Coturnix japonica: one gene and its partner. The protein of the gene in region 2 purifies or fractionates together with the protein of the main gene of each other region. This does not show direct contact. Links are inferred from orthologs where the notes say so. Each region holds a gene or a part of one and is shown on either strand. Other genes may lie near its edges.

Region 1 (3,749 bases), on a different chromosome or scaffold from region 2:
ATTACAGAGCTCTTCTCTTCCTCAAGCTTGTGAATCCACCTGCACACACCACAACCCTGAGCTGGGGAAGCAAAGGCAAACTACATCCCCAACATCAGCATTTCTGCCTGCTCACATCACATCTCCACTTAAAGCATTATTAATTCTGATACAAAGCCTGCAGTGCTTACAGACAGGAGATATCTGCTGTATATATCTAGTATATGAGCTCACATCTATTTTTAAATGCTACATTTCTATATCTGCATCAATCACGTTCCTTCCCAGTCTTCACATTAAACTCAGTGGACCTTCTGAACTCCAACCAATACTTCATCCTCATTCAATCACTGCTTCTCCCTTATGGACATATCGACACCTATCTGTAAAAGTGGAAGTAACTGGAAACATGCTCCTTCCCCACAGTCCTCGCTCAGTTACACACACCCTCTGAATCCATCCCCTCACCCAAAGGCAAACTAACCACCGTACCAACCCCCAAGCTCTGAAGGGATCCCGTACCTGCAAAAGCCATGCAGACGTTGTCATCCAGGGCGCAGATCTTCCGCACAGTTCTCTCATCCTGAAGCTTTGCCACAGATTTCTTCTCCACGCCGAGCACAACGATGTCCTTCCCTCTGACCCCAACCTGCAGCACGTTCAAAGGAAAGGAAAGAAACCCCAAACATCATCAACCTCAACCTGAAGTACTTTGTTTCCTATTGCCACAACCCGGGTGAGGACTGACGTAACAAATACATTCAGATCCCGAGTTCAGTTTCATCACCTGTTTTCACCAGCTGAAATCTGTGTGACTCCTCGCAGACATTCCCATCCCTCCTCCCAACCATGTTCTCCAACACCAGCACTTCTCTGCAGCCACTTTAAAGCTGCCACACCAAACACAGGGTTGTTTCCTTACTGTATGTGATACTGCAGTGCCGGGGCTGCTGTGCCGTGCAGGTTCATCGGTACCACAACACCCGGCGGTACCGGGCCGGCTCAGCCCAGCGGCTCACAGCGATATGGGCCCAAATAGAATCACAGAGTCACAGAATTGTAGGGGTTGGAAGGGAGCTCTAGAGATCACTGAGTCCAACCCCCCTGCCAAAGCAGGCTCCCTACACCATGTCACACAGGTCGGCGTCCAGGCGGGTCTTAAGTATCTCCAGAGAAGGAGACTCCACCACCTCCCTGTGCAGCCTGTTCCAGTGCTCCGTCACCCTCACTGGAAAGTTCTTTCGCACATTCGTGCGGAACTTCCTATGCTGTACTTTCATCCCATTACCCCTAGTCCTGTCCCCACGCACTACTGAAAAGAGACCAGACTCACCACTATGGCTCCCACACCTCAGGTATTTATAAACCTGGATCAAGTCCCCTCTCAGCCTTCTTTTCTCAAGGCTAAACAGACCCTGTTCCCTAAGTCTCTCCTCATAGGGAAGATGCTCCAGACCCTTCACCATCTTAGTGGCCCTCCGCTGGACTCTTTCCAAGAGATCCCTGTCTTCTTTGTACTGGGAAGCCCAGAACTGGACACAATATTCCAGATGAGGCCTCACCAGGGCAGAGTAGAGGGGGGGGGATCACCTCCTTTGACCTGCTGGACACGCTCTTTTTAATGCACCCCATTATGCCATTGGCTTTTTTGGCTACAAGGGCGCACTGCTGCTCATGGTCAATCTATCATCCACCAGGACGCCCAGGTTCCTCTCAGCAGCTCTTCCCCCAGCCTGTACAGCCGGAGCGAGAGCTGCTGCATTGGCCTCAAGGCTCGGGCCCGGGCAGCCGCCACATGGACACGGGGATCCCTCCATCTCTATCCATCTCTATCCATCTCTATCCATCCCTCCATCCCGATCTCTCTGTGCTCGCTCCATACACTCAGCCCCACCGACCAGCAGCAGCTCCTCTCCCCACACCGCTCCGTGCTCAGGCCCTTCCTTCCCCTCACGTCCTCTCCCTCCCGCCCCAGCCCCTCGGGATCCCCTCGCCTCCGTTCTCCCCTTCACTCACCGCAGTCGATCCCTTCTTCACCGCCTCCTGTGCGTACTCCACCTGGAACAGGTGCCCGTCCGGAGAGAACACGGTGATGGCCCGGTCGTAGCTCATGGCTGCCGGCCGCGCCGCCTCCCTCAAAACAGCACACTCATCCCCCGCCCGCTTCCGCACTACGCCGATTGCGCACCCTACGCCAACTCCGTACGCTGCAGCCGCCGAGCTCCATCCGCCGCTCCTTACGCCAGGAGCGGGCGTTGCGCAACGAGCGTAAGCTGCGCTAAGAGTAGATGGCGGCGGTTGTTACGCAGTTGGCGCAGCTGGCGGCGGCCGGCGGAGGGAGGGAGACGGCGCTCGGCTGCGACAGGAAACCGGGCGGCAGGGCCGGACCATGTGCGGGCAGCGGGGAGAGCTGCGGGCCAAGGGGCGGCCGGTTCTGCTCATATCCCGATAATCATCCCTCGGTTCCACCCGCTCCGACCCGCCGGGACCGGCCCCGTGTGCGGGGGGTTGTGTTCGGGTCCGGGTTATTCTGCCCGTTGCCGTGCGCCGGGCTCAGATCGTACCATGTGCGGCACCTCCCCTGCCCCAGCACTGCGGAGAATCGTGGGCCGGCAATAGCAGGAGATAATAACAATATTATTAGAGCACGGGACCCGTACATTAAAGACACGTAAAAAAAAATAAAGCCCACCATGTCGGTTGCCTTTGCTTCTGCTCGGCCGAGAGGCAAAGGGGAGGTGACCCAGCAAACTATCCAGAAGGTAACGGCATATCGGCATATCGGCATATCGGCATGCTTTGTACCGCGGGGTGGACGCGATGCTGGACGTGATTCCGTCCGCGATCCCGCAGCCGATGATGGAACGAGGCGGATTGAGGCAGAGAGGGAAAGTCGTGCATGGCCGGGAATGCGGAGATGGACGGCGAGAGAGAGACAGAGAGAGGTGGGGGAAGGAGGAGGTGGAACAAAGCGGAGATGAGCGGAGCTGCGGAGCCGGAGGGAACGGGATGGAATGAGCCGGGTGCTGCCGGTGGGAAAAAAGAGCCACAATAACGCGTTGGAAAATCGCAATAGCGTGTTGAATGTGTGATTACTGACGGTGTTTGGGGACGGTGAAATAAAATCCGATATGGCATTGGGAAGGGTTTTGTGTTTGGATGCCGGAGGGAGCAGCGCTCAGCGGTGTTTTTCGCCTGCTGTTACCGCTGCTGGTGATGTGTGTATTGGTGTATAATGACAAAGGTGGTGAAGATCTGCTCTGCGCTGAGCTCCGGTACCGCAGGGCTCCCGGTTGGGAAGTGCTCGTTTCCCATCCCGTTGGCTGGCACAGGCGCTGCGTGCACCTGCCGAACCTTCACCCCATCCCATCCCTCCCAGAAGGGAACTGTATCACGAAGCGGCTGGAGACTCAATAAAGTCCGTGCATGTTTCACTCTGAGCGCTATCTGTCATTTGTGCTGCCCGTCATCTCCTTCCCCACCACGGAGCCGTTTTGTCCGTGCGGTCCGTGCGGTGGCAGCGAGGTGCGGGTGATGATGGGCAGCGAGGCGGGGTTGATGTTTAACCCAGCAACGAGCGGATCGGCAAGAGGTGTTACAGCCAAACCGCTCATTCTCAGGTGCCAATAAATGACTTCAAGGGAGAACAGCTGGAGGATGGTACAGAGCAGGGATGGAGCTGCGTGTGAGCACGGGGAGTGTGACTGCGTTTGTTGCTGTGGGACTTCGGGGCTGGCAGTCGGTGTCTGTGGCTGCTGGCAGTGGTTCTG
Region 2 (3,749 bases):
TTAGAGAAACATGCAATTGGTAAATAAAACACCTGAAAGCTACTGCTGATTAGGACAGTAAGAGCTACATGCAGCACCAAGAACACCATATTTCACTGTATTTTCAAAACAAACAAACAAAAAATCCTGTTCTTTTAAGAAAGTTAGATATGAAGGCAAGGTATCAAATAGAAACAAAATCTTTAACATTTTGGAGGTGTCTAATATATAGGTCTTGAATTCAAATTTAATGATACACTACATGTCTAAAGGTTAGAACATAAGAAGCAAGACATCAACCAGAAACTGTCACAATGAAAGTTGCTTTTTCCAGAAATTGATGTATGCAGATTCTCCATAGAACAAGTACATTAGAACTGAAGCCTCAGACCTGCTTGTACTACTCAGCACTTGCTGTGCCTAGCCATTAATATGGGCTGATCAAGTACTAGTTTCAATGCAGTGGCTTCGGAAGGGGAAGTGTCCTCAAGTTCTTAAAGTAACTACTGAGGTAGGTGTATGTTATTTAAAAGTAACACCTCTATTCCTTCCTTATAATCATGAGATCTCTAAGAGCAAAAGGGAAGAAAATCATTACTTCAAATGCCTACCTGACCAAGTACAGAATAAAATGTCTCCCTGGCGCCCAATGGCAGAGTTGGAAGATGATAAAAAAGCAGAGCAGCACCATCAACACCATCAATTCCATTACTGTACAAGGGAACAGAATAGCTATATACTGATCTGAAGATAAGAGTTACAGCCTTTCCAGTTTCTACATCACATTTTTCTTTCATTTTATTTCTCCACTGCAGTCGACACATAGGTCACAAGCTCTTTGCAGCAATGTTTTTTCTGACCTGAGTAAAAACGTATGAACGTTATAAGGATTATTTCTCATTAGGCTTCTCTAAATGTGGGCATACGTTTTCACCCAGAGCAGCCAGAATTGTTACTCATGCTAAATACACTGTCAAAAGATGACCAATTCCCAGCAAGATAAGTCTTACATTTTCAAGCTGGGTAAGCTGCTAAAGAAGCATGCACACCTTTATAGCTCATGTAACACTTTAACTATTTCAGTATATAAACGCTGATTATATTAACAGTATTTTATTACATCAAACACTATGTTTTAATCAGGTAATATCTGAAATACTAAGGCACAGCACTAAGATTAGAGTTGTCTCTAACAGCTGACGTAGAAGAAACTCTATATCCATCATGATGGAGGATAAAAAGCACAGAAATGGCATTAATGAAAACTAAAAAAAAGCTACTGCAGAACCACTACATATTTTCTCATATCAATTATTGTTTTTTATGTAAGCAGTTCAGTTACACGCATGTTTGTAAAGACTCATACCGTTGTTGCCTATCTGATTTCAAAACTCACTTGCACATGCACAGTTGTACACATTTTACAGGCTGCTTTGAGGATAGCTTCCCACACAGTAGGCCTTGTACAACCTTCTTAAGCAAGACACTATACTTTGGTGAGGGCAAGAGCCTACTGTAATATACATAACTTCCACTTCCCCAAAGCCCAATAATTCCACAAGCACATTTTCCATTTTAAAAATTAATATTCACTGACTTACTTATGCCGTACTTAAAAAAAATAAAAGAATCTCTATAGGCTTTTCTAACTGTTTTTTATCTAATAAAAAGCCAGATAAGTACTTATCATTTGTAATTGAAACACTGCCAAATCTGCAGGGTAGCACAAGAAACTCGTACTGCTGAACCTCTACCTCCCTGGAGATGTCGGTAAAATAACATTTTGAAGCACAGGATAATTTAGACCGGGAAAGGCCTTCAATATAAGTCCATAAGCCACATCAACAGGTCTCATGAATACCTCTAAGGAAGGAGGCCTCCACCATCTCTCTGGGCAGCCTGTTCCAATGTTTGACCAAGTATTTCTTCCCAATATCCAGTATAAACTGGATACAACCCAAATAAGTTTCCTTGCATCCTAGCACTTGTCCCTGCAAAAAGAGATTGACACCCTCCTCCTTGCTGCAGCCTGCTCAGGCAGCTGTAAAGAGTCTCCCCTCAGCCTCTTCTTCAAGCTAAACAGCCACAGTTCCCTCAGAGACTCCTTATAAAGGTCACTTTCTAGTTCCTTCTGCTGGATATCTAAATACATATAAAACAAGGAACTGAATGTGCTGCTTCAAAAGTTTCAACACAACACATCTACTTTGCATTTCTCAGATATCTTAAGCTAAATACAGAGAAATGCTAAATAAAGCAAACAGTTTTCAACAGAGGAAAATTGAGACTTAATAGGCCAAGTAATTATACTACGCTTTTGAAATATAAGATCACCTTCAGATCCAAAGCAGTCAAAAACATCTCACATACCGAAGTGTAGTTATGGACAGCCATCTTTGTGAATCTGAATGCTGGTTTCTGAAAGTATCTTTTAAATTTCGCCTGTTGTTTTCCTTCTTTTGGATAATTAGGTGTAATAATGGCAATGCTTGAAGAGAGGTTTCCAGTGAAAGCACTGCCCACAGGGCATGTCTGTACATCAAAATGCCCAAAGTTCCACCCGGAGCCAGAACTGAGCACCACCCCTTGGTTCTAGTGATGTTATAATACCTTCTGTCCACTCCAGCCAAAGCCATCACAGCTAACGTGTGCCTGCAAACACACACGGAGCTCATGTTTCCAACCCTGATCCTTTCAGCATGATGTGCCTCTCAGGCAGTGAACCCCAATAGCTGGGTGCCTGTGACCTTAGTGTGGGGCACCCACTTCACTACACATACTGAATCTGATGCGTCTTCAGGAATTGTGTGCTGAAAGAGCCACAGCACTTCCTCAAGATAGATGAACCTGAGAACATAAGGGTCTCCTAGATATATTGAACAGTAGCTCTCCAGACTTTAAGTTATTAAGTAAGGAGACCTAAATACTAATAATACTCTGTACTGGCTGCGAGGCCAAGAAAAGATCAATTCAGTCTTTAATGGAAAGAAGTGAAACAATAAACATACTCACAGGAACCCTTCAGTCTGTCTTATATTCAGAAGAAAACAAAACTGTATCAAACATTAAGCAAAATGCATTATTTAGTGTATTTTGTGTTGTTTTCCCTCTGTCAAAAACCTCCTGACATTCCAAGCAAATGTAGTTAACCAGATTAAACTCCATGTTGTACTTTAAAAGCCTAAATGTGTAAAGTGTGACATTTAAACAGTATTTCACATCCCTACCAACTGCAACTCACTAGAAGAGTATTTTCTGAGACGCTGATTCTAATCACCTCCTTCTGAGCCACTGCTTGCATTCTAGTAGCAAATTTGATCAACAAGGAACTACTTCACACACAAAAATATAGATATTAGAAGACTGACCATTGAGACATTTATCTAACCTACAGAGAAGGGACTCAACTGCTTATCATCACATACTCTCCTTGTACAACTCCAAAGAAAGAGGCCAAGTACAGTAAAGGGAACATCACACAATCCTGTTTTCAACTGGAAAGGTTTCTGGAGTTTTGGTAAGTTTGGTTTCCATGGCAGAATGAACTCAGTGAAAGAATTCTATTTGACACTGCCCTAAAACAGTGACCATGGTCACGCACATAGTGACTGCGGATAACATGGGACTTTAGCTCTCATTTTAAGAACAGTCTAGCATCTATGGATTAGAAAGATTCAGCTTATGCAAATCCAGCTCTGCACTCAGCTATGAGGAAAATAATTTAAAGCATTCCATGTCTAAAAGGCTCTAGGGTAGCACTGGTATGATGA

Evidence for each region. The genes of interacting proteins can lie anywhere in the genome.
Region 1: the proteins of UBE3A (region 2) and PSMA7 purify together in Homo sapiens (affinity purification with mass spectrometry, with the first as the bait; 3 studies listed by BioGRID). This does not show direct contact. The link is inferred for Coturnix japonica from reciprocal best matches to the Homo sapiens genes UBE3A and PSMA7.

What each region holds. Positions count from the first base shown.
Region 1 is NC_029535.1:6,913,706-6,917,454, forward strand, and holds the start of PSMA7 (proteasome subunit alpha type-7), read right to left. Parts: upstream 2,249-3,749; 5' UTR 2,092-2,248; coding exon 1,996-2,091; intron 629-1,995; coding exon 502-628; intron 1-501. Other genes in the region: SS18L1 (calcium-responsive transactivator), read left to right, coding at 2,673-2,741.
Region 2 is NC_029516.1:118,887,400-118,891,148, reverse strand, and holds the start of UBE3A (ubiquitin-protein ligase E3A), read right to left. Parts: upstream 2,556-3,749; 5' UTR 2,520-2,555; coding exon 2,350-2,519; intron 1-2,349. UniProt on the Homo sapiens protein: E3 ubiquitin-protein ligase which accepts ubiquitin from an E2 ubiquitin-conjugating enzyme in the form of a thioester and transfers it to its substrates.